Linked DNA regions of Mytilus edulis. The protein of the gene in region 1 purifies or fractionates together with the protein of each later gene. This does not show direct contact. Links are inferred from orthologs where the notes say so. Each region holds a gene or a part of one and is shown on either strand. Other genes may lie near its edges.

Region 1 (7,912 bases):
CCATGAAGATACAGTTGATTTTTTAAAATCATATTTGAGTGAAAGAACACTGCAAGTCCATATAAATAATCAGTTTTCTAATAAAAAGTTTATAAATTTTGGTGTTCCACAGGGCTCAATACTTGGTCCCATTTTGTTTGTTTTGTTCATAAATGACCTTCCATTACACATCAAAAACTGCCATACAGACTTGTATGCTGATGACACAACTATACATACATCAGGAAAGACTATTGGTGACATGCAATTAAAAGTACAAGATGATCTCCAATGTGTTGAAAAATGGTGTCATGAAAATAGCATGTTCATAAATTCAGATAAGACGAAATGTATGGTTATAGGTACAAGACAAAGGCTGCGTTTAAATCAAGCAGATCCAGTTCTAACTATTGAGAATAATATTCTTCAAAAATCATCAATTGAAAAACTTTTAGGTGTTAGAATTGACTCTAATCTGTCCTGGACAGGCCATATTAATTACTTATGTTCATCAATTTCATCAAGAATTTTTTTACTCTCTAAAATCAAGAAATTTCTAAATATTGATCTAAGAAAATTATTTTATAATGGTTATATTCTCCCACTGATAGATTATTGTTGTATTATTTAGAGTGGTTGTGCTAAAAATGAGCTAGTCAGAATAATAAAATTGCAAAAAAGGGCTGCAAGACTTATTTTAGATGCTGATCCACTTTCATCATCCGCTCCACTGTTTAAACAGCTTGGATGGATGACAGTAGAGAACAGAATCTCATACCACAAATCTGTTTTGATGCATAAATGCCTTAAGAATGAAGCCCCTGTATATCTCACTGAAAAGTTTAAAGAAATGCCAGAAATAAACCAATGTCGTTTGAGAAATGCCTCTTGCAAAAATTTACAAGTTCCAAAAGCCAAAACAGAGCTTTATAAGAAATCTTTTATATATTCATGATCTGTTTTATGGAATAACTTACCAATATCCCTGAAAAAATCAACCTCAAGTACAAGCTCATTCAAAAAAGATTTAAAAAATTACTTGATGGAACATTAAGAAGCTGTGCATTTTTTATATGCATAATAATTTTCACACACTTACTCAAACTTATGATATTGTTGATGCCAATACTATACATGTCATATATGAATTTGTAACTTTTACCTGTTTTGAAAATTGTATATTTCATAACAATTTTTTATTCATTGTTCATGTATGTGTGTCTGTTTGATATTTTGTAATTGTTTGTTATATTTCATTGTATTTTATGAGGGCCTCAGGGAAGATTAGCTTTACAGCTAACTGTGTAACCCTCTTTAAATAAAGAATTATTATTATTATTATATTATCATAAACGTAGTCTACTGTGCTTGATTTTATCATTGTTTACGCATTTATATCGTATAATCGTCATTTTTTGTTCGCTCTGTCTGTTATAATGAGAAAATATGGCAGCTCGTTAAAAGAGGGACGAAGATACCAAAGGGACAGTCAAACTCAGAAATCTAAAATAAACTGACAACGCCATGGCTAAAAATGAAAAAGACAAACAGACAAACAATAGTACACATGACACAACATACAAAACTAAAAAATAAAGATCACGAACCCCATCGTCGTGTTTTGAAGCCGTAGTTACCGGTATCACCAGCCCAGCAGTCAGCACTTCGGTGTTGACATGAATATCAATTATATGGTCATTTTTTATAAATTTCCTGTTTACAAAACTTAGAATTTTTCGAAAAACTAAGAATTTTCTCATCCCCAGGAGTAGGTTACCTTAGCCGTATTTGGCACAACTTTTTGGGAATTTGGGTCCTCAATGCTCTTCCAACTTTGTATTTGTTTGGCTTTTTAAACATGCCAAGAAATCCTCGCTAAAAATTTCGGTCGACCCCCTACGGCAGTCATTAGTAGCTAAAGATTTGATTTCATTCAAGAAATTAATGTATGACCTTCATGTACGTGTCGCTTAGAACACGGTCGTATACCAAATGGTCAAAATTAATCATCCATGTAATTTGCTCTATGGGGTGTTTGCAGTATTTCAACGGAGGCAATTTCTTGGCAAGGGAGAAAGGAAGAAAGACCATTCACAATTTGTCTTATATTTGTTTTTCTCTTTTTTAATTAAATAAAAAAAATAATAAACCTTTCAAATGTACAGTTCATAAGATAAAAAATATTCCCTGTGGAACACCTCCCCCCCTTTTTTTGTGCTCTCTATGTTTAACCCTCGAATTAAGCTTTCCAATTAAAAATTAAAACCTTGCTTTCTAACCAATCTATTCATGTACCGGACCGGCAACTTTCTTTATTTAATACGAAAATCTACAGTGCCGTTATACACATGCATGTTGTTTGCTTGGAGTCCCTTCCCGAAAAGAAAGAAATAGCCAAACTCCAAAATACTATATTCCTGCATCACGTGATTTTTACCACGTGGAGCTTACATTTAAATAAATACCGAATATGGAAAGTGAAACTACAATTCAAAACATAAAATCCGAAGGCACAAATAAGAAAAAAGAAAGGTTTTTTTTGGCAAAGGGTGCCGGGGTAATTCTCTCGGTGTTCAAAATATACATGAAATATTTGCCACTGCCCCTTTTCTGTTCTATGAATTTTGACCCTGAGTTTTCTATCTGTTACGGTTTTGATCTGAGCGTCACTGGTGAGTCTTATGTAGACGAAACGCGCGTCTGGTGTATTAAAATATAATCCTGGTACCTTTGATAACTATTTACACCACTGGGTCGATTCCACTGCTGGTGGACGTTTCGTCCCCTAGGGTATCACCAGCCCAGTAGTCAGCACTTTAGTGTTGACATGAATATCAATTATATGGTCATTTTTATAAATTTCCCGTTTACAAAATTGAATTTTTCAAAAAAACTAAGGATTTTCTTACCCCCAGGAGTAGATTACCTTAGCCGTATTTAACACAACTTTTTGGAATTTTTGATCCTCAATGCTCTTCTAACTTTGTATTTGTTTGGCTTTTTAACTGTTTTGATCTGAGCGTCACTGATGACTTTTATGTAGACGAAACGCGAGTCTGGCGTATTAAATTATAATCCTGGTACCTTCGATAACTATTTACCGATTGTCACCTTAAAGTTGATAATCAACCAAAAAAAAACATGGATATTGAACACGTGCATAACATGTACAATCAGATAATTGTTTATTTTAGTGACAGATCCATGCGTATTGCGGTCACCGGATTTTTACGAGGAGGTTTACGCTCAGGTCACTATGCATACGGAAAATATGTCGGCGAATTGCTTACTGGAAGCAAGCAATTCAAAATAAGTAAACTTCTTCTAAATGTGGACAAATTAAAGAATTTTCCTCAGAAAAAAGAATATGTACATAAGTTGTATAATGAAAACTTTTTATAATTCTATTAAGTATGTATGCAAAAGTCCATTTATAGAAAAAAAAATATATGCGAAATCCTATATTTAAATAATAAAAGATTAACACCAGCGAGCCCCCATTAAGAACAAGAAATATATCTTTTGAATGATTAAAATTTAATAAATTTTCATTTATCAAGACTTATGAACAATTTCTGAGACTTAAAATGAATATATGTAATGAAAAGAAAACATTGCAAGATCTTTATCTTATACATTCAAACAATGGTCAACAAATAAATTGCGAATTTTTGAATTTTTGTCCTATCAAATTTCTGACTTTTATTTCCTGTGACTTTCTTCCCGTTTACATGCGCGTAGCTACGTTTACGTCAAAACGACCGGGATTACACTTGAATTTTTAAAATAAAATTAATTGAAACGCGCGTCTGGCATATATACAAAATTTAGTCCTGGTATCTATGATGAGTTTATTTAAGGACAAAACGTATTTCTTTCTGCACTTTATAAGTTTTCGATCATTTTTCTGTTCTTTTTTGATAGACAGATAGGCGGACTCTTCTTTACGAATGTTACGCAATTAATTGTTTTACATGCTCAATTTATAAACCTTCATAGATTATCGTGAAATATTCCAGATCAAGAAAAAAATATCAAAAGAAAATTTTAGTTTATTTTTTAAATCCCTTTAACATGTTTAAATGAATGATAAATTGATTTACTTTTTGTGGGAAGAAATCCTAGGTATTCCAGATTTTTTTTATATTGCACCTCTTAGAAATATTTTTTGTTTTCTCTGAAACCAATAACCATTAGGTTTGCTTCCAGTTTAACACGATGAATAGGTTAACATATTACAAAATTTAACAAAAACAAACAAACCATTTAGATACAAAAGTATGTTGCTATCAATGATTTTTTACTGACAGGAAGCATATATTACGGTATCTTATTCTCGATAGCTGTCGGGGGCTTCGTCCCTTTCGAACCCACTACCAGCAGGTGCTTTAACATTGAGCGGTTGTCACCCCTCATATCCCTCGTCAAGTTTCGGGCGTACACGTAAAAATGACCCAGCTACCGTCTTAATTCTTGCTAAAACGTAGCTAATTCGGAAATTAAAAAAGAGAATTTTGTTTTTGATGTCAATAATGACAATTGTTTACTTGTTTTTGATATTTATTTTAAGAAAGTCTTCTTAGATCAACTGAAAAATGGATAAACACATGAATTCGTACTAACACGCTTCACCACATGTCCCCTATGACACCCCTGTTTAAAACTGATTTTCCTTCCTATGGTGTGTTGCTCATAATTTGATTAGAAACTAGTTGCGCATGCTCACAAAAAGAAATTGAGGTCTGCAACAGGATAATGAAAAGATAAATGTCGAACTGATAAGTTTCTGTTGTCGCATAAATTGATTATTGTTGCAATAAATTATAGAAATTTAAGTACTGAAGAACACAAGTTAAATATTTACCAATTGATATGTAAAATCTATATATTTCTCACAAAATCTAAAAGTTCTTAAAAAAATTGTATGGTCACATGGTTCCTTAAACACACGCGGTCTATACCACGTGACTCTTGCACAAAAACGAACAGACAATGGCGGATGCAAGTCGTAAGAAAACACTCTTTTTACCCTTAAATTATTGTTTTAGCTCAAGAAATGCTTTGTAAAGTCATCCCTGTGTCCCATATTTATGTTGTTAGACGATGATAGATATAATTGTATTGGGCGATACCAGTATTTAGCTCAAATCATGGTAAATTGCCGTAACAAGTCAACATTTCGCACAAAAATGCCGGCATCGCACCGGGCGTTAATGAAGCCAATTGAAACACAATGTTATGTTAAGACGCAGCACTTACAAATTAATTAACTTGCATTATGAAAAAGATGATGCATTGATGGACCTCAATCGAGATGTAAAACTAGAAAGCCGGTCTAAATGTATTATAAAATCAATTGAAAAGTTTTCTGAAATTAAAAAAAAATGTAAGGAAAAAAAACGAGCTGACATTAAGTCTTATAGTAGTCCGAGATTACTCTGACGTCCAACGGCTGTTTTGCTGGGGCCATGGGACGTCAGAGCTTGTCCCGTATCAAAAAGTGGATATTTGCCCACCCAAAATAAATGCGCAGCTTGTCACGTCTGGTGCCGACTGATGGCCTTGGAATTATATAAATCAGGCATCAATCTGTTCATTTTTCATTTATGTCTTCATTTATGTAAGTTTCACCTACCTGCCAACCTTTATTTTCTCATAATTATACAGTTTTCACAGTGACCCATTGATTTCCTCATTTTGCCTTTCATTTTCAAAGATTATCACATGACCACATGAAAACAGTGATGATTTATGCAAATGACCATAATGTAACACCTCGTTTATTTACGATGCAAGTTATCTAAATGTCCGAGAGCTTCCGACTGTAACATGGTCGGAACTAAATGCTTAATACCGATCTCCTGTAAAGGAGGTGAAGTATCATGGCTGGCTACTAAATGTTAAACATCTATTTCCTTTAAAGGAGGTTAAAAAATATAAATATTTGCATATTTTGAGTCTTGAGGCCACGAACTCTTAGTAACTTGATGTCCATTTAATATTAGTCTGGAATTATTCAACTAGAAAATCCTTGTTGGTGTGAGGTGTTTCAATATCTTTAATATCGCACTTCTGATGTTGAATTTCATTACCAGCATGGATGAAGGGGTTGAATAAAATAAAATAATAATGAATAAAGTCCAACTAGAACTAGTAATCGTGCTTATAAGTTATGGTTAAGTTAAGTTGAAGGTAATATTGTCCATATCTGACTATCAAAAGTCAGTCATTGGCTCAGTTTAAATTTAAAATTGTTTAAATTAATAACAAGCAAAAATGATGGGGCACTGTGATAAGTGTCCAAATTTGAAAATAAAGGGTGGCAGATAGACGATTCGAAACTTGCATAAATTAAGTGATAAATGAATATTCAATAATGAACAAATTGAGACCAGATTTATATGGATCCAATGCCCTCAGACAGCTCCAGAAGCTAGGAAGCAGTGCATGTATTTTGAACAGGGTAACATCAACTTTTTGAAATTGGACAAGCTCAGACATACCATGGCCCCAGCTTTGGATGTCAGAGAATAGGCTTGGTGACATCAAGAAATTTTGTAATGTTTAGTAACACATTTTTTTCACACCAAACCAAACAATGCTTTTTCAGTCATGAAATGAATAAACAAGTTCAGTTATATATAGAAATAAGGCATTCAGACCATTATATTCCTCTGAGAGTATACCATCATTTCGCAAAAAGAAATGTTACAATCACAGCATTAAAAAAGCTGAATTTGGGGTTCACAATCTTGCGTTGTTTTGATCGGTTGCCCACAGATTACACTGGGTCAGTGGGAGTATTACATGTAGATGGATCATATATGGACCATAATTTGCTATTGGGCTCCGTTTCCTATAACTATAGAAAAGTGATAAAATGTGAATTACTGTAAGAAAAGTTGTAACTACATCTAAAGATGCCATTATTTTTATCAACATACAAGTGTATGCTACTCTTCCCTAGAAAAAAAATTGAAATTAACAAATTTCAAAGATTATACGACCGTATTTGTGTGTCGTTTCTCGCGTTACTTTTCACGTCCGAAGTGCATAACGCTGACTAATTTATAGATAATCGTCACCGGCAAATTCGTAATTTTTGCATTAAAATAACAAAGAACATCGACCAATAAGAATAGTGAGAAGAAAATGCCGAGAACTATAAGTATTTCTGTAGCAGGTGTAAGAACACTGTCGTTATTTTGGTTTCCCATTTCGTAATGCACATTTTAGATGGTTTAATCTGCTTTGTTGTAAAAGAATTCTTTGCAACAATATGCAAATACGAACTCTCGCGAGATGTTCAAACAGGTAAATGATTTAAAAAATCAGAGATGATTTACATTCTTGTTTTGTTCTTCGTAATAATTAAGTTAGAAAATGACGTTATCGTTATGCGTTACATTTCACACGAAACAGAAGTCCATTTATTTATTAAAATTGTTTTTGTCGTTAAGTTCTAATCATTTCAGGTCATACGTGAAACATGTGACTAACATGTGATCACGCCCTTACAGCCGGATATACGAAATACTAGGTCTAAACATTGTATTTGTTTCCAACGGGATGTAAGCAAACATAATCTGTAGGCTTGTTTCGTCTTGTTTAAAAAAGGAAAATACAATTTTCAAAGAGATTGCGCTGGGGGTCTATTATTTTTCCTATGTGCATAATGTTACATACGATCTTGTGTGAAAATAAATGCCCAATGACTTGACAAAATCGATTTCAGATTTGACCAACGTTTTAACACACTTCGTTTCCCAATAACGATGTAAAGGGTCCTTGGAAAATTCAATCGAAATTACGTCTCTTATCATGGTGCCGATGTTCGTTGGATTGATTTAGCTTCAACAGTAAATATTACTGGATATTTTAGGTGAATAAAGATAATTTAATAAAAAATACATGTTAATGTACCGTTACACTT
Region 2 (6,879 bases), on another chromosome or scaffold:
CCTTGTTTAGGAAAAACAAACTTTATATTGAAATTCTATATTTACATTCAACTCAGTGATTACATTCAAGTAAATAGTTTGATAAAAGAACGTTCATGACCAACCCCTCTCATGTTAAAATTGGTACTTGAAGAAAAAGCATGTTTGTGTTTGAAAAGTTGAAAACACAATATATTTTTGGCCTTAAACTACTCCACTGATCTTCATATTTGTATGTAGGACTACAGCAAAATATCAGTACACCTCAACTGATTTTCTTTCAAATTACACACATTAAACTTTACCTTTAATTTATCAGTAGTTGATTAAAAAAAAGAAGCACAAGACCTTAGGGATAATTACTTCATTATTATAATTTTTGTTGAAGAAGATTTAGCTCCTAGTTTAAGTAATTTCAGCTGGAGTTCTACGCTGTAACAATTTATTGTGTACATGTATCTCAACTTACCATCTAGCTTTACATTGTTTTGCTGATTTTCTGTGTAGCAATGATGCAATTCTAGCCCACTGGTTTTTGCCATATTTCATGACAGCTGCTTTCAGAATCTCATCCTGAAATAAAATATAAATATGTTTGCTATCATACTTGTATACAGCATTCTGTATTACAACATTCTTAATAGGCCATGACTGAGGAGCAGGGTCAATTGATTTCTATAGAAATGAAAAGTGTCAATGAATGATTATACAATTGCATACTTTATATCATTGGTTTAACATAAGTTTTTCCCATTAAACTGGCCTACTTTTAAGTACTAAAAGGCATTTTATAAACTGAATTTTAATGTTGGTATTGCTGTGTGTTCTTCACTTTTGCTTCAGTCCCAAGTCAGGAACCTCTGGCCTTTAATTTGTTTGTCTTGAATGTTTTTTATTTTTTGTTCATTTATATGTTTTGAAGTTTTCACTGAACTAGAACACATTTTTATTTAGGGGTTAGCTTATGCCCACCTCAAGTGCAGGATTTTCTCCCTGCATTGAAGACCCATTGGTGGCCTTCTGCTGTTATTTGGTCGTGTAGTTGTCTCTTTGACATATTCACCATTTCTTTATTCAATTTTACTAATCAATTTACTGTTGACCATGCTGTAGAAACAGCATAACTATAACTTACTCTTACTCTTATATTAATCCACCATTTTTTACATACATGTAAGAATGGTTGGATTTTTTTTAATACATTTGTCGATATTTACATGTACCTGCCTGTCCTTGACATTGCAAGAGATATCTTTTGAATCAGAAGCCACATAAAGGTGAATTTTTCACAAATTCTGAGGTTCAGTGTTGCAGATTCCAACATAGTCATTACAGTATATCAAAAGGTAGCCTGCTACAGAAATATCACTAGACATACAACTGGGTAGTAATGCCCTTTACAGTCAGGCGTCAACTGTCAATTTTCGGCTACTGTTAGCGTCAAATTGATTAAAATTTTACTGTGATTTGTAAAAATATCCTTATTGTGATTCGTCAGAGGGCTCAAATAATTAACGTTACCGTTATTTTTGGAAATAAATAAACGTGATCAACTAAATCTTTATTTTTTTATTGTCTACATGGTCTAAAAAAGAAAGTGCACATTTAATCGTCATGCACCAAAAATTACTGTTAACGTCATTTGGCAACAATTTTAACTGTTATTCGTCATGTCCATTACCACCCTTATACAACAGTATCAATATTAAGAATGTTTGATGTAAACGCCAAAACAAAAACATGCACTGTTGTAAAACAAAAATGTAAGCGTGTGTGAACTGATAAACTTCTTCTTCTTCTTCTTCTTCTGATATACAGTTACAGCTTCATTATTATTGAAGATTACGAACTGTTGCATGCGCGGAGTATATGATTAAAAAATATGAACAAAAATTTATCTTTAACTTAGTAGAATACTTGGTGATATTTACATGAAAGAAAACAACAAGTGATTAAAAAATATGTACATTGTTATTTATAGAATTAAATTATGTTGTGGAGAACAGTTGGTGTCAACTGATCTCTGTAAATTTCAATGGTTTGACTTGCTACCACAACTTGTGGCAACATGTTCCATTGAATGATTGTTTGCGGAAAGAATGACCATTTGTAGCTGTCTTTAGAGGTGGATATTTGCCGAAATGTTTGAGTATGTCATTTTCTTGTTCTAGTATCTGATGGTATGAGGACTAGTGATGGGATTGCAATGAGTCCATGGATGACCTTGTAGAACATGATAAGTCTGGTTTTGAGGCGGCGCTCACTGAGTGAGGGCCATTGTAGTTCGTTTAACATGGATGTAACGCTACTGGTGTTGTGGTAATTGTTACATACATATCGGGCCGCACGCCTCTGTACCATTTCTAGCTTATTTTTATAATCTGCTGTGTGTGGATCCCATAGACTACAGGCATATTCGAGTTTTGGTCTCACTATTGATTGGTAAGCACGGGATTTGATACTGGAGTTAGAAATTTTTAAGTTTCGCCTAAGAAAGCCAAGAGATTTATTTGCATTTGATACGATGTTGTTGTAGTGAATGTTCCATTTTAAGTTAGACTGTAGGGTTACGCCAAGATATTTTGCAGATGTTACTAGTTCTAAAGTATGGTTATGAAGGATGTAATCGTGTTTAAATGGTTGTTTTTTTTGTGTGATGGTTAAGATAGTGCATTTTCCAGGATGGAAGGCCATGAGCCAATCAGCCTCCCATTTCGCTGCTGCGTTAAGATCTTTTTGTAAATTTGTGCAGTCTTGTTGACATGTTATTTCTCGGTATATAATACTGTCATCAGCGAAGAGTCGTAGTTTGCTGTGTTCCAGGTATTCTGGAAAATCATTAATGTATATTAAAAAGAGTAAAAAACTTCCAATAATGTATGGACATTTACCTCCGTGTTACGCCAAACACCTCCTTTTATCATAATTCTCGGCATCTTGGCCTTTCACTTCTTAGATCTCTGTAAAAGGTGCCTAAAATGTAATTGTCTAAAAGTTTTTTTTTCCAATAACGTTGGGTATAATAAATTTAGCTAATAACCAAAATTAACAACGGACACGAATATATTTTAGATACACAACTCTATATATGATGATTGACTGCATTTCTGTACAGTTTTATTATTCTTCATATATTTTGTATAGTTCTGATATTTAATATAACCAAAATTAATCATTTTAAGAACAAAATTCGATAAATACATTTTATTTTGGTAACATGCTAAAAATGAACACTTTATTCTTCTGCAGCCTAATAGAAAGTCTAGAGAGAATCGAACGATATTTCCCCGCCTTTTTGAAAATAGCTGGATAAGCAGCCGGATTGTTTACACATCGTTTCCCAATCCTTTCTCAGATACAAATACAGTATAAAAGAACATATTTTTTTTACAGGAAAAAACGTAGTTCAGGATGGTCACCTCATCTTCCTGTTAGAATCATTGCAGATGAGGTGGCCACAATCAATTTGAACAGTTGAAAAAAATTATCTGAGACTATAACACATAGTAGTCTCAGGTTGAATGCATAGCAAATAAATTATTCTGAGCTCAAGGCATCATGTGAGCCATTACCATCACTGTGCCCCCTTGATTACTTTGCAGTTTCTTAATCAAAACATTTGAAAAATACCTGCATGATCATATGATTCATATTTGAATGAAACATCTTAATGATAGTCCATTGGCCAACTATCTATTTGATTCTATTATACAGAAATTGCTTCTCTTTTTCAAATATGACTGGTTCTATATCGTACAAATTTGGGGTCTGTCCTCAAAAGGCAAAATAAGTTGAATATGAAATATCAGCATTTGAATAATTCTGGAAGAAAAAAATGAAAAGCGCAACGGTTACCAGAGTTCCTGTCAACGTATATTTGTTCCACCTAATAGAAGTTCCAGTGGAAACTTTGTTATAAACAATGTCATAATACCTGTACCTGATGGAACAAATATTTTATACATTGGTTAGAGGTATAGGGGGAGGGTTGAGATCTCACAAACATAATTAACCCCGCCGCATTTTTGCGCCTGTCCCAAGTCAGGAGCCTCTGGCCTTTGTTAGTCTTGTATTGTTTTAATTTTAGTTTCTTGTGTACAATTTGGAAATTAGTATGGCGTTCATTATCACTGGACTAGTATATATTTGTTTAGGGGCCAGCTGAAGGACACCTCCGGGTGCGGGAATTTCTCGCTACATTGAAGACCTGTTGGTGACCCTCTGCTGTTGTTTTTTATTTGGTCGGGTTGTTGTCTCTTTGACACATTCCCCATTTCCATTCTCAATTTTATACTATTTATTCCGTTAAGAACATCTACTGTAATATTTATTCCAGAATATTTGTTCCATTTGGAAATTATATTATGAAGGAACTTCTGTTCCGTGACATTCCAACAGTTTACAGCTTACAGTAACAAAAAAATTATTGTAATTAAAAGATTTAAGAAACTTAAAGCTTACACACATTTAATTCTCACAGATAAGTTTGCTGTTTTTCTTAGCTCTTCATTGCCAATGAAAAATTTATGACCCTTCAAAGTTAGACAACTAAAAAATGGATCTCTTAATGCAGGGTCAATTCAATTAAGGAAATTGGCAAATAGTGTGTATAGTTTATAAATTGATGTTTTGATTGAATGTAGGACAGAAAGTCACAGGACAAATAGTCACAGGACAAAAAGTCACAGGACAAAAAGTCACAATTCAGTTTTGAGATTGGTTTTGAAAATATTTTTTTTGTATTTTCTTGAAGTTATATATATATATATGCTTTTAAATGCATAAACACGTTTTAACTTTTTTTTTATGATAATTTTATGAATTTTACCGTTAAACTCTATTACAAAATGTAATAATGTATATAACATGTGTTAAGTGTCTCATAAGTCAAATTTATGACTGGGTATTGATTGTTTTATTGTATACTGTGATTTGTAAATATTGTCAATCAATATGTGACACTATAATAAAATATATATTTATTTTATTTTATGAAGCAACTTTGTAATTAAAATTTATTCACTAAATATCAATAATGATCAAATAATTGTCATGATTTTTATGAAAACAAAATGTTAAAAGTGGCTTGGTACTTGAATGGATTTATTTTGCCAATAAATATATCCTTTTCATGATTAAAATTGTACTAACTACATTTTCATTTATCAAGGTTAATGAGCAATTTCCCTAACTTAAAAATATATATATGTTTTAAAAAGTAAATATATAAAAATATGTTTAAACAATTGTCAAAAAATTATTTGTGACTTTTTGTCCTATCAAATTTGTGACTTTATGTCCTCTGACTTTTTCATGTCCTGTGACTTTCTGTCCGTTTACCTTTTGATTTGGGTAAGAGGTATTTCTCTTTTGTTGCTATGTTGTATTGTTTCACTGCATGTGGATGCTAGACCAGAAGAAAAAAAAATGTTTTCTCAACAATTTTTTTTTTATCATTCACATAATGCATCACTAATGATCAATTAAAAATCTTTTCTCCGACTAGCTTTCAATTTTGTTTTTTCAAAAGGATTAATCAACCAGTTGCACCTTCAACATTTCAGCTAAGGGAAGTAACTTGCAATTACTATTGAAATTTAATTATCTAAGATTTTAAACAATAACAAACAAAACAACTGTTTCTCAAAACAGAATTATGGGTTGTCATTTAAAAACTAAATCAATAAGACCAAAAATATCGGTCAAAATTATAACAAATTTTCTGGTTAATTTTAAGCAGATATTGCTGCTGAAATTGTAGCAAATTAGAATAATACATTTTTTTTATACAATGATAAAATATTGTTGCTTATACGACAGTAGCAAATATTACATACTAATCATAATTTTATGAGTTATTGCCCTTAAAGGATAATATTTAAAAAAAAAAAATATTATGTTTTTGTGTACTAGCTTCCCCTATCCTGATAAAAAAAAAGTTATATGATGCAGCAAATAAACAAGATAACACTGTCCATCTTTATTTTAAATGTACATTACACATGTCATATCTAATTAACCTCATATTTTATCTTTCATATTATATCTACAAGTGTTAATAATTTGATTAAAAGTTTTGATATATATATATGGTTTTTTAACTTCAGACTTCAAAAATGGCTTCTTCTAAGTCTTTACAAAGAGGACAAATTCCAGTAGGTTGTGAACTTTGTGATGGTGGGAATAAAATCAAATTTAAATGTTTGGACTGTCAACTTTTAATGTGCAGCCGATGCAAGGATAAAGTCCATGCTAGATTTAAAAATGCAACTGAACATAGGATTAGAGACATTAAAGAGCTGGATCTGGAAGAAGAAGTGGATACATTTAACTTTAGAGATGTTAAATGTCTAGAACATCCAGACCAGGCTTGCTGTGTATACTGTCAAACTTGTAAGAAAGTCATCTGTTTAAAATGTGTAACCAAAGTCCACAATGGACACACCTTTATTGATGAAGAAGAGCTTAATGATAAAAAGACGATAACTAAAAGTGGACAGAAGAAAGCTGATGAAAGTATACATAATTTGACCAGTACATTACACAAAGTTCAGGACATAAAAGATCAGGAAGATGCTAAATTTAGAAAAATCAAGCAAGATATCCTTAGTCACAGGGATGCTTTTAAGTGTGAAGTTGATAAGCATGCTGATAATCTTGTAAAAGATCTGGAGCAGACATGGGAATTAAATAGCCAGGAAATCGGGGCAAAGCATAGCAAGATTAAGAAAACCTTAAAAAAATTACAGAGGAAGAGTAACACTGTAAAAAGTATTACAACTTCAAAAGATTTTGTCAAATTCTTTGATGATTTTGATAAATTTGCTGTTTCTTTGTGTGGAGCTACACCACAAGAAAACCTTGAGTTTTCATTATTGGGGAGATTCTTGCCAGACAAAA
Region 3 (7,651 bases), on another chromosome or scaffold:
ATTCTTATTACATGTATTTACACGACATTTCACGTTGAATTGATTAAACTAGAGGCTCTTAAGAGCCTGTGTTGCTCACCTTGGTCTATGTGCATATTAAACAAAGGACACAGATGGATTCATGACAAAATTGTGTTTTAGTGATGGTGATGTGTTTGTAGATCTTACTTTACTGAACATTCTTGCTTCTTACAATTATCTCAATTTATAATGAACTTCGCCCATTAAATACAGAGGAAAATATTTTAAAATTTACAAAATAAAAATTGACAATAAAGGGCAATTACTCCTTAAGGGGTCAACTGACCTTTTTGGTCATGTTGACTTGTTTGTGGATCTTACTTTGCTGAACATTATTGCTGTTTACAGTTTATCTCTATCTATAATAATATTCAAGATAATAACCAAAAACAGTAAAATTTCCTTAAAAAATACCAATTCAGGAGCAGCAACCCAACAACATGGTGTCGGATTCATCTGAAAATTTCAGGGCAGATCGATCTTGACTTGCAAAACAATTTAACCCTGTCTGAATTGCTCTTAATTCTTTGGTTTCAGAGTTATAAGCCAAAATCTACATTTTACCCCTATGTTCTATTTTTAGCCATGGTGGCCATCTTGGTTGGTTGGCAGAATCACTGCACACATTTTTTAAACAAGATACCTCAATGATAATTATGGCCAAGTATGGTTAAATTTGGACTAGTGGTTTTAGAGGAGAAGACTTTTGTAAAAGATTAGAAAAAAATACGAAAAATTGGTAAAAAATGACTTTTTTGTAGATCTTACTTTGCTGAACATTATTGCTGTTTGCAGTGTATTTCTATCTATAATAATATTCAAGATAATAACCAAAAAACGGTATAATTTTCCTTAAAATTGCCAATTCAGGGGCAGCAACCCAACAACCCTGATAAACAATTTTACCCCATGTCAGATTTGCTCTAAATGCAAATGGTTTCAGAGTTATAAGCCAAAACCTACATTTTACCCCTATGTTCTATTTTTAAACATGGCGGCCATCTTGGTTGGTTGGCCGAGTCACGCCACACATTTTTTAAACTAGATACCCCAATAATGATTGTTACCAAGTTTGGTTTAATTTGGCCCAGTAGTTTCAGAGGAGAAAATTTTTGTAAAAGCTAACGACGGACGCCGGACGCAAAGTGATAAGAAAAGCTCACTTGGCCCTTCGGGCCAGGTGAGCTAAAAATTACTTCAATCATTCCGCATCCTGATCAGCTTTCTCTTCAACTTTATGATTATGCCGCATGCCATGCAATAAGAATAAATGTGTATCTGTTTAAGTTTTTCTGAAAATTTCTGAGAATTTCTGAAAGAATATTAATACTGGACTGTCTGTCCGTCTGTTATCACACTTGTTAACACGGTCGATACTTCTTTAAACGATCTAAACCTTACCCGATGTACATGTTAAATTTTGGGAGGGGTAGGCATATTGATTTTAAAGGTCGAATGAAAAGATCAAGATATCTTAAAGTTGGTGTATTTCCTTCTTGAATAAGGGGAGATGTATCAACATTTAAGCAGTACATACGTGCGTATGGAATTTATAATTCAACATACTAGTTACTATAGAACGTTATCGGACCACAGATGAATTATCACGTTGTGATTGGTTAAACACCGTCACGTGGTGACCCCCTATTATAAGTTATATGGTTCCCTACTGACCCCCGTTGCGGCGTTTAACCAATCACAACGTGATAATTCATCTGTGGTCCGATAAGAGACCGTATGGGGTAAGTAAGTTTCATATGGGGTTCATGACGCGTTAATGGCGACGTCATCCATTAATGTTGTTGTTTATTTTTCAACAAAATGCCGCAGAAAAAGTCCAGCGTCCGATAAATTCGTTATACGGTTAACTACTGACTCCCTACGGATCCATAGAGGGTGAATAAAATGCATAGGGGACTCGGCCTCCGGCCTCACCTCCCTATGGATTTTACTAACCCTCTATGGATCCGTATGGGGTCAGTAGCGAACCATATAACTTATATTATCTATTTTATCGTAGACAAATCTTTGCCGGTTTTATAATCTTTTAATTTTTTTTACAAATGATTCTTTTTAAATTTCGTCTATGACCATGCATAAGGGAGGGTTTTTTTAATCTAGTAATCCTGTCGCCTGTTTTGTTCGCCTGAACCAAGTCCTGAAAATGTTGATACTGTGTATAGATATAATAATAAATAAATAAATAAGCTTTATTTAGAGTCAGCAAGGTATACAAACATAGACAAACATAAGCTCTAATGAGCTTTTAACCGACATACGAGACATGTTTAACAATACAACATTTATAACAATACAACCGCAAAATGCATAGCATAAAAATTTGAAAAATGGGGTATGATCTAGACGGTAAATAAATTTGCATAATATATAAACTAAAAGTCTGCGCAAACTATGCACTTACAGCCATTTCCATTCCATGATTTTAAAATATTTTTGAACTGACTAAAATTAGCATTTTTTCTAAAATCATCAGGTAGATCATTCCATTAAACAGCCTGTGTATTTAAAATAGTTCTTACCATAGGTTGATGTTCGGACCCTAGGTATATCTACAATATTGGAATATCTAAAAATAAAAATTATATTTACAATCTTTCAATACAACTGAATCATGTAAGCATGGTGGTGACAATTAATATAAAATTTTAAAACACTCAATAGCCATGTTATGCATGTACGTCTAATTTTCAGTGATGGAACCTTTGCTCGTAAAAGAAGTTCAGCATATAAACTAACATAGTCTTCATATATAAATTGTAAAGCCCTTTCCTGATTTTTTTCCAATTTGGTGGTGTTCTCTTTGTTGCAAAAATGCTATGCCATATGTTTTATTTCCAACTGCAATGGCTTGGAATTTGTCGGGATTTGCCTGCAAACAATTAAAACAAAACCAGTCAGTTAAAACAGCACTTTCTCTTTCAAGTGTACATAATAAATTTTCAAAATTGTTGTCTGCATATGACAGAGTATTATCATCGGCATAATTATATAATATAGGGTACCATGTTCAATAAAATAGAATATGTCATTTATAAAAAATATTAAATAATAGGGGCCCCAGGATTGAGCCTTGGGGTACCCCTTTCTGGATGTCAGCCCAACTGCTGAGTACTCCTTGAAGTTTGATTTGTTGCCTACGATCTGTAAGATAATTTTGAAGTAATTTCACTGATTTAGAAGAAAGACTGTAGGCAGATAATTTACTTAAAAGGATATAATGTGGTAAACAGTCAAAAGCTTTCGAAAGATCCATAAGAATAGCTGCCACATACATATTAATTATCCGGCCTCACACGGTGGAAATTATGCTTCGCCTTCATATTTGATTCCTTTTTAGTCGATCAGAGATTGTTGTTGTTTTTTTTGGGTTTTTTTTCTCCACCGTACAGAAAATGAGTTGATCGTTGTTTTTTTTCTTTCTAAATTTAAAAATGCCATTTTACTCTGTTGGAAGGTATCATTGTCACTCAAATAAATTGCAAGCATTAAATCTCTTAGTGATGATTAGTGAAGTATCGTATTATTTTTATTTTTTATTTTTGAAACGACCCCTCACATCTTACCTGTCGTAGTCGTGCTCAACTGTAGGTGTAGACAATTGTTAAAAAGGTCTATGAGTTGAGGGGCAAACAGATGATTTAGAGTCATAGAAATACAAGAAACTTTAAATATGAAATCATTATACCAATTAATATTTAGATATCCAACTAAAAATAAATTAAAAATATTTTTAATGAATGCATTATATTGTCCCACGAAAAACCTTTTTATTTAACTTTGAGTTCGGTCTTTTATTTACTATAATTTTAAACATAAGATATCGGTACATATATCATAAGTCAAATACCACTGCTTACCCTCTTGTAGGAGCAGAACCGAGGGGAAAACATACTTACCTTCTTTATAAACATTGCCAGAAAAGAGTGGGAATTATACACAGACAAATAGTTCTGGCTGACCATAGAGAAAATAACCTTAGCAATAGAGTGGGGAACACTATTTCTAAAACATCTGTAGTCATTACATAGAAAATTCTACGGGAAAGATTGATAGAAATTAAAAACAATGAATCATTCTGGAAAAACAAATGCCACAAACAAATTAAAAACACATCGTATGAAGATTTTCAAAACGGTCCACATAAACAAATCCGTAACATTTTATAAAGTGTAAAACACATCACACACACGAGAAGTCAAGACAGGAAAATTGAGTGCCTCTTTCTTGAATATCATGCACAAGAAACATTCTCACCTTTTGAGTATTATATTTGTGTCTCCCCATACATGCCATAGGAGAATATTTTTCTTTATAAATACAGGAAACCGTGAACTGAACTGGTATGCCATTCTTATCTGTATGATATTAAAAATAACCTTTAATGTCCTTACTTGTTCATAATATGAGTTTCCTTTATTATTTTTGGTTCTATTTTAAATCAAGCTTATTTTTTTAGCCCCAAAGGATCTTAATCCGTCCTACTAACTTAAATAAAAATACGTCCAGAAATCGACAATTTTGATGAACATTCAAAATATAGATTAGGACGTTGTCTTGATTTGCGATATTAAATCGCATTTGGGTTGTTGGTTTACAATGTCAACTGAACATTTCCGCTTCCGGAAACGCTAGGAAAATGCCGGCTTGATCACCATTCAAAGTTACAGTGAGCTTAATCCATTGAAATCAAATGCTTTTCTTATGCTGACATGTCATGATAAAGAAATAAGGTGCAAATAAGATAACATTCAATGATAACAAACCCGAATGAAAGCCCACAAATCTCTACAATACATTGCATTTCCTGTGTTTATACCACCCTTGTTCAGTGACATTTAGAACATACAAGAAAATAACTTGATATCATGTTCCTCATGATATCGGAGTATATCCTAATTCATTAATGTTTATTGTGCGGTATATGTCAACCATGTAAAGCTATTTTTGTCTATTATCGGGCTGCAAAAGCACCGAACACAACAAAAATATACCACAGAAAACCTTAAATTATATACAGTTTATGCATGTTTACTTTTATCAACAGCGCATTAAACGACGCATATGTAGAAAAGATAACGGTAACATGGGCTTTGATGAACAGCTCATACCTAGTTTAAATAAATTTTTATGTCCTTCCCCTGAAACTGAAAGTGAAAAGTTTGTCAGTAAAATTATGCATGCCAATCGCCATTTACCAGATAGAGGGAATTGCCTGTAAAGTTAGTCAAACAACTTCACGATCTGTATTATGCAGAATAACTAGAAATATTGTTAGTTCCACAGGTACTTAATCGTTCATAATGAAAGCAATGCTGATTATCAATTATGAAATTTAATTTGCCGATTGATTTGTGCAATACAGATTTGTATGTTTTCAACCACTTGCTCCACATGGGAAGGAAGTGACCCTGCCCCTAAATGCACAAACAATGTAGACAGTGAAAAAAGTACACAATTTAAAGCAAGAGCAACACTAACACCTTTAAACATGTTAAAACAAAACTAGGGGCGATCCAGAAGGGTAAGCAGATACTGCTCCACATGTAACGTACTATACGTAGGAAACTCTTCTCAAATGAGTAAGACCTTTGCAAAATAAAGGTTTTCACTTTTAGAGGAAGCAATCTACAATGCAGCAACACAGTTAAGTTTTTTAAAAATATTATCAACTAAAACTAATATTTTTCTCAGTTAGATATTTTCACAATCAGATTTTTACATAGGTCACATCGTGTTGAAAAAATCTTAGACATCTCACAACTGCTTTATCTGTATTTCAGGCTTGAAGAATGTATCTGTATAACTTAACTTTACAAAGAGCTACTGGTATTGCTCATGCAATCCATGGCAACTTTTCTGGAAGCAAGTTACAAGAAATAGTTGTATCCAGAGGCAAAATTTTGGAACTTCTAAAACATGACCCAAATACTGGAAAATGTTACCCTTTGTTGTCAACAGAAATATTTGGAACTATTAGAGCTCTTATTCCCTTCAGATTGACTGGTGGTTCTAAAGGTAAGTTAAATAACTGCTGAGGCCACAATTAAAAATATTTTGGTTTGCCCAAACACTATCCAAAGGTTGAGACAGTGGGTAGGTAGGTAGGCATTTTCTTTCTTTTTTTTCAAAAAAAGAAATTGAAGTATCGGGTGTTTATTAGTCTTCATGCCTATCTGATTAAAAAAAAAAAACTGCTTCAAATCAGGACAAGAAAAGAATTTGAGTAGGCAGCTTTTTTCTGGGTAGGTATATACGTAGGGTTTGGGCAAACAAACCTATTCTTTTTTATGGCCTGATGTATGGCTTTTTATAGATCTTCTTTTAGTTGTCCCTCCACCAATAAAAACTGGCTGCACCAAAATAGCCTAAATATATGGCTATGCAGTGCTCAAAGGTGGCATTTAAGCACCAGAAATCAAAATCCTTTAGTTGTCTTTTATACATTTATGTAGGACTCTTATAAAGTGCGATGGTTGATGTTTTTTTTTTAGTGCGATCAAATGACACGCTAAAGTGTGATGATATATAACATGCCGACAGATGCATTTTAAAATTATTTAATTCAATAAATTTATATCGGACACTTGAAACCGAAAATAACTAGACCAGTCTCAAAATTACCGGACATTTGCCAATGTCTGACTGACCTTTGAAATCACTGAGAGTGTAATTCAGTTTTTCTCACATACACAAAAAAAAATTCTATGAAAAAAATGTTTCCAAGGACAAACACTCAACAAAAACTTGTGGCCACCTATATGGTAGAGGTATTACAGAGAAGTCTGTCAGTATAGTTAATGATAGGTAGGGAATTGACTGATACTTAGTTAGGTAAATCAAGCTATTAACAACAAGCTACCATATATTTAATTTTGAAGTACTTAACATTTGCAAATTTACCTAAAAATTATTGTATACATGCCAATTTTTGAGTAAAATGATATTTTCAGATTACATTGTGGTTGGGTCCGACTCTGGAAGAATTACTATCTTGGAATATATACCTCAGAAGAATGTGTTTGAAAGGGTAGGTTTACAGCTGATAAAAAAATGTTTACCACATATTTGAATTTTCGTGTTTTAGAAAGAAAGGAACATCTGTATAATAAAACAAATTTGTGAGGGTTCCACAAACCAGTGTCTCGCCTACTGTTGCTGTAAATTACAGGCTCAACAAAAAGGAAAGAAAAAAATCAATAGAAATATTCCGCTTGATACTATCTTTTGATTGTAAGAAGCTTCTGTCCAAGTTTGGTAAAAATCCAGGATAGTTTATGAATTTTAAAAACTTTAACTGCAGACTGGATGTAATGTTAACTGGAAGAAAAACTAAGTCCATTTACAAGTAAAATACAGATACACAGGTACAAAATATTAACAAAATTTCCTTCTAGATACAAGCTTATGTCCACGTTTGGTACAAATTAAAAATAGTATAAGAAAGTTATCAAGATTTTTAAAAATTTTAACCACAGAGTGAATGTGTTGTTTCCTGGCAGAAAATCTAAGTCCATTTACAGTAAATTAAGGAAAAAATTAATTTATCGTTTTAAAAAATTTACTTCTGGATACTATCTTATGATCATAAACAAGCTTCTGTCCAAGTTTG
Region 4 (7,925 bases), on another chromosome or scaffold:
TAGTGAATGAATCTAATAAATGTTTTGAAAACTTTAACTGCAGACTGTATGTAATGTTAACTGGAAGAAAACCTAAGTCCATTTAAAAGTAAAATACAGAATAAATGGAGTTATCTTTTTACAATATTTACTTCTTGATACTATCTTATAATCATAAATAAGCTTCTGTCCAAGTTTGGTACAAACCCAGGATAGTTTAAGAAAGTTATTAAATTTTTAAAAACTTTAACCACAGAGTGAATGTAATGTTTCCCCGCAGAAAAACTAAGTCCATTCAAAAGTAAAATACGGGAAAAAATGGATTTACTTAATTTAATAAATTTACTTCTCGATACTATCTTATGATCATAAACAAACTTCTGTCCATGTTTGGTACAATCTAAGGATAGTTTAAGAAAGTTATTAAAACTTTAAAAACTTTAACCACAGAGTGAATGTAATGTTTCCCCGCAGAACAAACTAAGTCCATGATTTATAAGTAAAATACGGAAAAAATGGAATTTTATTTTTACAAAATTTACTTCTGGATACTATCTTAATATGATCATAAACAAGCTTCTGTCCAAGGTTGTTAGAAATCCAGTATAGTTCAAGAAAATTATTAAAATTTCAAAAACTTTAACCACAGAGTGAATATTTGTGGACGCCGCCGACGACGACGACACCGACGACGACGGAATGTAGGATCGCTTAGTCTCGCTTTTTCGACTAAAGTCGAAGGCTCGACAAAAAATAATAATACGATGCAACACTATCCTTCCAGTAAAAGCATTTTTATTTTGACTTTCTTTGCATTTTACTCAAGAGTGTGTCACTTCAATATAGCGAAATCTGGTTGGTCGCTGGAATATGCATGAATTTATTATTAACGATTTCAATCAGCCTTAATTTTTGTGTCTGCTCAAAGTAGCATGTTCTCAAATCCGATTGAACGTGTCTTTCTAATACAACACAGGGTACATATATAACGTGTTGTCGTTTTCATATGCACATGACATTTGTCACTGGACGTTTAGGTGGTACCCAACACTACAGGGAGATAACTCTGTAAAGTCAGTGATACGTTTTAATTACGTTGTGTTGTAAAGGGAATAATAAGCTTCTCGAAGATCAAAATTGGTGTTTGTCAAACTGCTATATAACCAGTTAATTTTTCTGACAAAACGGTTGGTTCAAATTTTTTGAAATTTTTATATTTCTGTTAAAGGTTCAAATTAAATACTTGTCAAAATTTTATCCAAATTAAACGAACCACATTGATTTCAGTGAAAGTGTTCGGTACCACCTTAATCCTAATTCCTCAGCATCATCCAATTGTTTTTTTTCTTGTATTACTTAATCATCTGTTGTTTACAAATCATTCTAAAGAAGTAAATGGAAAGAATCGAATGCAGCTACATTTGGTTGTATTAGAATTTAATTCATTTTATTCCGTTTAGTTCCCTTTCTACATATGTGCAGAGGAGAACTGCAGGTGTCCACATGTAAGCGTCAAGCATTTGTCACCAATATGAGTACATCGCAATCCGTTACTGTTTCAACACCCAGGGGGTTTCATGTCTTTATTCTTAAACAAATTGTTTTCTTCTCTTTTTTAGCAATGCATCACTCTCTACTGTCCTTATCTTTTATTTTGTATTCTGTATCTCCATCCAGATTCTCGTGTATACCATGAGGGTACGGATTGGGGGGTGTTGTTTATTTCTGTATTCTTTAAATAGTTTTGTTACTTTTCTCTACATTTTATTTATCTTACCCATTATTCTTTCTCTATTCTTTATATTTAGGCATCCCAATATACTGATGTTTAGTTACATTACGACGTTAATCTCTGATTTATATACTGGTTACCAATGTAGATGACAAATTGGTGTCATTCATGACAATTAAACAGAATCCACATGATATATGCGACCATTTTCGGATAAAAACAATTTTACTTTAATTTAACACTTTTTGAAACCATTTTTATCAATTTTCAATATCCATTGCCTACATTGTTATTGTTCATGTGTTTTGTTCCGTATATTTTATATTCCATTGCTCATGTTTTGTTTCCGTATATATTTTATGTTCCATTGCTCAAGTGTTGTTTCCGTATATTTTAGCCGCTTGTCTTGAGCCTACCAAATGAACACACCATAAAGTAATAAAATTATACTTTTATTGTCATTCATAACTCTTAACAGACTAATTAACAGACCGGGTTTTATACATCCGACCCATTAACAGACCAGGTTTTTAATAAAGATTGATTTATGTCACCAAAATACAGATTTTCGTGTAGATTTTTCACAAAATGATATCAATTTGGTTGACACTCATAATGCCTGTCTTTTTTCGATGTTCAAAATAGTGCATGCAAGTAAATTCAACCCAAATGTCATTTTGTGTACATTTTGTGTGTGTAAAATGTGTATAAATTTACTGATGAGTAATTTGCCTTTTCATTTTATAGATCGTACATAGAAGCTAGAAAAATAATAATTACACCACAGGATTCAGTACATTGAATAGTTTTGTCAGACATAAATATTTTTTATGATAAACATATATTTAAAAGGTTATACAATGAAACATTCTGAGTTTTCAATGATTTTCTCGATAACACCTGATTAACAGACTTTAGCCAACCCGATTAACAGACTCACTGCCGATATAGCCGCATACTCAATATAGATTAACCGACCAATCTCTCGGTTAGCCGAGTGTCGGCCGTGATACTAGCGTCGATTTTTGTTTTCCTTTTTTGTTTTCCTTTTTTTTTTTTTTTTTTTTTTTTTTAAAGTTATCGTTAGTGTTATCCAGATCATCTGCTATGATGGAAACTTGGGAACTACGCTTATAGTGTCTAAATCAGTTGACAACTTTAAAATATTTTAGTTCCAAATTTTCTGTTAAAAAGTGTGGGATTGTGAAAAAATCACCTTCATCTATTTTTTTTTACTGTATCAAGATTTTGTTCATGGGCGACTGGACTGGTATACGGGCGTTTTTCAATAAAACTGAATTTCAGACACAAAAAAAAATGGAAAATCAACTTGTTTAAAATTTTATTTCGAGAGTTATTTTGAATACCTCTATTGTAGACCTGTTTGTATATAAAAAGTGCAATCTTAAATACTCTTTAAAATGATATTATTTTCTTAATTTATGTACTGTTCCGTAGGGGACTTTTGTCCACTACGAAACTGCTTCTAAACGCACATCTTACTGCACTTTAATGTCTTCTATAGACATTCCAGTTTGTTTTACTTTATATACTAGAAAGATCTAATTTTTGTCTGAATTGGAAAACCATTTTTTATCGATAAAGATTAGACAGTACTTCACATATGAAGGTACAACTCATGTTACGTAGTGGACATTTTGATGAGTTTCGTAGTTGACAAACCCGTTTCGTAGTTGACAAAAATTTCGTAGTTCACATCAACCCTATTCTATGTTGATAAAAACATACTGAAAATTACATGAAACTAACTCTTGTTATTTGTTTTGCGCGAAATAATTGAAAAAAAGAGTAAAAAAAAGACTGCATGGTAGTGGTAGTGTCCACTGCGAAATATAGATTCCACAACTATTTCTCCACTCGAGACAGTTAAATTTTAATATTTAAAGGGCGAGGCTTGTCGAGCTTTTGAAATAATTAAAATTTAACTGTTGAGAGTAGAGAAATATCGTAATACACGAGTAATTACAGTGGTGGAATCTGTTTCTCTTATGATTTTTATCCTCCCTTTTCAAAGATTTGAGAAAAGTTGTGTACTTTTGGTGTGACGTCATCAGGCACGGTCACCTTTTTTCATTTTTTTTATTTTGACATAAATTCAGTGTAAGAATTAAGTTTCTAGGGACAACATCAAAAGACCAATGTGCATGATAAAGCAAAAACGGAATTCACATAGTTAAGTCTGTGGCTGCTGTTTTTTTTAAAACTCATGATCAAGTTCACAACAAAACTACAGTCCTAGATTACAAAAAGAAATGCAACACTAACAGAATACAGAAGGGCAATCAATGAACAAAAGACAAATAAATACATGAAATAAGAAACATTGATCCCGACAAATCAGGGCTACGTCTGAGGAAAAACAGAACTTGCTTTTTGCAAGGGACTCGCCGTGAACACAATTTGATATGGAGACAAGTGTTTGGTTTTGAAATTTCCTACATGAGGCATTTGCCTCAATGTAGTTAGGCATTTGCCTCAATGTAGTTACGGCCCAGTTAAAATAAAAGTGAGGCAAGGTTTCCTGAGACAATTTACCTCAAGTTAAATGAAACCAATTTTCAGACATTTCACATGTTTCAAGTATATTTGAATAATATTTATACTTTTATTATTAAAAAATTGGGAAGAGTTTCCCGATTTTTTTTGGGGAAAAGATGAATTTATGAAGAATCTGGTGCCATCTCATACTTTCGATTAGACCTGCTGAGTTATTTATTTTTGATTGCAAGTCAGGTATTTTATTTTCAAACTACCACAGAACAAACCATTTATTTTTGTGATTATCAAGGCCAAGTTATTTATTTTCAAAATCCTCCTGCCCCCTCCCCCCCCCCCAGAATATCAAATGGTCGTCCCCTTAATTTAAATATTAAAATTTTAATAAGATTGCAAAAGTTCAAGCTGCCGGGGCAGCGGCGAGATTAGCGATAATGTGTATTGATTATGGACTTTCCCAATTGATCTTCCTCTAAGTTCAGTATTTTTGTGATTTTACTTTTTGAAAAACGACCATATGCATGCCTCTTTTAAATTTTTAATAATTAAATATTTTTTAATCCGCATTAATATTATTATTGTTGTTGTGTTGTTGTTGTTGAGCACTTATATCCAAAGGAGTTCCAGAGAACTGATATGGGTCGACGGTTTTGATCGAATAGTGGCGAAAGGAATTTGGGTCGAATAAAGGTAGATCTGCTGAAAGAGTTGACGTCCCCGTAAACAAGAGTAGGTGCTCTGCTAAATGAAACTGCTTTACATCTAATGAAGGCATTCTAAGGTCATATGACATTGTTTGAATATGTGGTATTTAGCCGCAGTGTTTTTGTAAATATATAAATGCCAAGGAGGATGACTGGTTACAAACAGTTGTACGCATTCGTTTGCAAGAGAAAGTCTGGTTTCCCCAGTAAATTATTTTAAAACTCAAGTTTAATCTTAATATTCATCATTGATCATCGTGAATATCTTAGTTTAATAAATTATTTTATATAAAGCTTGCTAACCAGACAAAGGTAACTGCCAATCATGCTAATAACTGAATACCACAGGCACTTGTTTCTATCCATAGGAAGGTCGACTATCCATATATATAAACAGATAAATAGATGGATAGTCGACCTTCCTATGGATAGAAACAAGTGCCTGTGCTGAATACACCTCATCACTATTTCAGGGGGGTTCTGATTCCAGATTACTCTTATTGTTTTGTCAGATTCCCGTATCCCGCTTTAATAGTCTTTATGTACCGTGTAATTCTTGTTTTTTTGTAATTTCCTGTGTCCCGCTAGACTTTATTTCCCGTTTTCACAGCACAATAATTTTACTCTCAAGTGTCACGCTTACAAAAAAATGGCAATCCTGTGTCACACTTAGACCACAATGACTGAATGAGACCCACTTTCAGTATTTGGAAATATATGTGCTGGTTTACCTGAGAATAGCTCGAACTATTGACGTCATACAACAATCAATTATCAATTATCCATTGTGGCATCAGATATTTTGTATTATGATGTCAAAATTTTATGTAAACTTTTGTGATGTCCTGTAATAATGCGGACTAATAGGGATAAAGTCACATGCACTTGCCTTAAGATAAGGTGTATAAGGTACATTTGTATCTTCATTTTACACTTTGGGGTATTTAGCTGAATTTGCCCTCAGAATGACCCTAGCTGGATCTTGTCAGTCTTTAGTAAATAACCATCTGAGGTCATGCAAAAATCACTTTAATTAGGCCGTTCATGGGACATATTATGGTATACCATTAAAAATGAATTGTCTATCAGTCTGTTCGTCCTCAACTGGTTAAAAAAGTTGTATCTTGTACTGCACAGAATATATTGGAAATTAAATCTAATAAGTTGGTCACCCTCGCTTCAGTCATAAGGAAATTAAGATTACCTACTTACGAAACATAAATCATGTAAATTATTTCTAGACTGTAGCTTCCATGCAGAATTACAATGTATGATTGTGAAATTGCTTGAAACTTTAATAGCGCAGGGATACAGGCTCGCCTTAATCTTCTATCTGGTACATTTGTAAATGACATCATAAAGGTATGCAATATTTATCATGGAGGACATGACTCCAGAAATGATGTATAACTAAAAATGTCTGTAATATGTAGATGGTCTATATATTAATTATGAGTTAAATTGTGATGACCAATTTGGCTGAAACTTACTTGTAACTTGATTTGAAGTAATCATTACTAATGACAGGTGTAAATGAATTACATTAAGACCTCAAAAGTGCTACTATAGTCTCTTTAATATATTCATTTGGTATATAAGTAAGTCTGTTCAATTCGTTGCAATAAGGTGAAATGAAGGCACTTACTTGAAAAACCAAATTACTGTCCATAATCATATAGGAAACAATTGATAACCATGGATAACTGTCATTTTGTTCAACTTGGATGACATTTTTTATCAAACCTTAAGGTGTTACATTTTAATTAAGACTAATCATGCTAATGTGTGTGTCAATTTCTAATCCTTAAAATTTCCTCCAAATATTTTTTTATACTTCAAAGTTGGAAGTACTTAAAATTATGTGTCAAAATACTTTTAATTGCAATGCTGACCAATGTTTTCTTTATCCAGTATAACATGTTCAAGTCAGTTTGTTAACAAATATTATCATGATTATGTTGATGAAATGATGACTTACTGGGGGCATGGAGGAACGATTGAGTAATGCATATAATTTTCTAAAGGTTACTAACTTGTGTACACCTGATGACTACAATAACATAAATAAACAGTGCCGTGTAGTGGTGAGGGATGGGTATTGGACGAAGAATCTGCTTTATGGATATATGTCTATTTGAGTCTTTAAAAATGCTGGTATGAACAAACAATACATTTGCAAGTATATATATACATGTATACATTACATTGTACATAATCTAGCAATTATGCAGAGAACAAATTTATTACGATTATAATAAACAGTGGTATTTTTCATAGATCTATTATTTTATGATTTTTTTGTAGATGGGTGACGTTAAACAGTTTTTATATGCTTGGTGTGGGAAAAGAAAGGTCACACCATGTTATGAGTTTGGCCAGACAGGATCAAAACATAAACCAAGGTTTAAATGTGAGGTATGTCAATATTTTGGAATTTATTAATGCATGTAAAACATTACAGCTCCTTTCCTAGCTCACCTGACCTATTACATGTTTTACAGGTAAGGAGTTGGCATAATTAGTCATTTTAGTAATCATAATCAGACTTCCACAGTAATCGATCACATTGCTTTAATGACTTATTTAGAGTTTACATCTAATTTCCATTATCAGATACTAAGCAATTTACAAATGAACATTGAAAAACAGTTTGTTTAAGTAGCATCTAGTGTGAAATTTCAAGGTTCTGTGGCAGCAAAGTATTTGACATGGATTTAAAAATGATTTGAAAAATGTTGGACGATTTTTGAATCCCTGTCAGATATTTTTGCAGATACTGATATCATGGAAATGGTTGTAGTAAAAAAGTGTTAAAAATTGACAAACATATGCCTATTGTAATTGTATATAATTTGTTTACCTGAATGACGTCTTATTTATTACCCACTATAGGGTACATGCCTATCACACAGTCATCTACATTTGACCTTTCATTGCAATGCTTTGTTTTAAAATCATATGTTTGGAATTTATGTGTCCTGTAATTTAATGTG

The links.
Region 2: the proteins of RNA-binding protein cabeza-like (region 1) and cell division cycle 5-like protein purify together in Homo sapiens (affinity purification with mass spectrometry; 4 studies listed by BioGRID and IntAct, with this or other methods). This does not show direct contact. The link is inferred for Mytilus edulis from reciprocal best matches to the Homo sapiens genes FUS and CDC5L.
Region 3: the proteins of RNA-binding protein cabeza-like (region 1) and splicing factor 3B subunit 3-like purify together in Homo sapiens (affinity purification with mass spectrometry; 3 studies listed by BioGRID and IntAct, with this or other methods). This does not show direct contact. The link is inferred for Mytilus edulis from reciprocal best matches to the Homo sapiens genes FUS and SF3B3.
Region 4: the proteins of RNA-binding protein cabeza-like (region 1) and ATP-dependent RNA helicase A-like purify together in Homo sapiens (affinity purification with mass spectrometry; 4 studies listed by BioGRID and IntAct, with this or other methods). This does not show direct contact. The link is inferred for Mytilus edulis from reciprocal best matches to the Homo sapiens genes FUS and DHX9.

What each region holds. Positions count from the first base shown.
Region 1 is NC_092349.1:8,782,240-8,790,151, forward strand, and holds the start of RNA-binding protein cabeza-like, read left to right. Parts: upstream 1-4,894; 5' UTR 4,895-4,971; coding exon 4,972-4,987; intron 4,988-7,912. UniProt on the Homo sapiens protein: DNA/RNA-binding protein that plays a role in various cellular processes such as transcription regulation, RNA splicing, RNA transport, DNA repair and damage response. Binds to ssRNA containing the consensus sequence 5'-AGGUAA-3'.
Region 2 is NC_092353.1:26,598,151-26,605,029, reverse strand, and holds the start of cell division cycle 5-like protein, read right to left. Parts: upstream 3,026-6,879; 5' UTR 2,916-3,025; coding exon 2,871-2,915; intron 553-2,870; coding exon 449-552; intron 1-448. Other genes in the region: uncharacterized protein, read left to right, coding at 6,096-6,879.
Region 3 is NC_092348.1:7,220,005-7,227,655, reverse strand, and holds the start of splicing factor 3B subunit 3-like, read left to right. Parts: upstream 1-4,631; 5' UTR 4,632-4,772; intron 4,773-5,822; 5' UTR 5,823-5,831; coding exon 5,832-6,057; intron 6,058-6,992; coding exon 6,993-7,069; intron 7,070-7,651. UniProt on the Homo sapiens protein: Component of the 17S U2 SnRNP complex of the spliceosome, a large ribonucleoprotein complex that removes introns from transcribed pre-mRNAs.
Region 4 is NC_092345.1:50,208,119-50,216,043, reverse strand, and holds the start of ATP-dependent RNA helicase A-like, read left to right. Parts: upstream 1-4,905; 5' UTR 4,906-4,957; exon of another isoform or gene 4,958-5,009; intron 5,010-7,236; coding exon 7,237-7,347; intron 7,348-7,925. UniProt on the Homo sapiens protein: Multifunctional ATP-dependent nucleic acid helicase that unwinds DNA and RNA in a 3' to 5' direction and that plays important roles in many processes, such as DNA replication, transcriptional activation, post-transcriptional RNA regulation, mRNA translation and RNA-mediated gene silencing.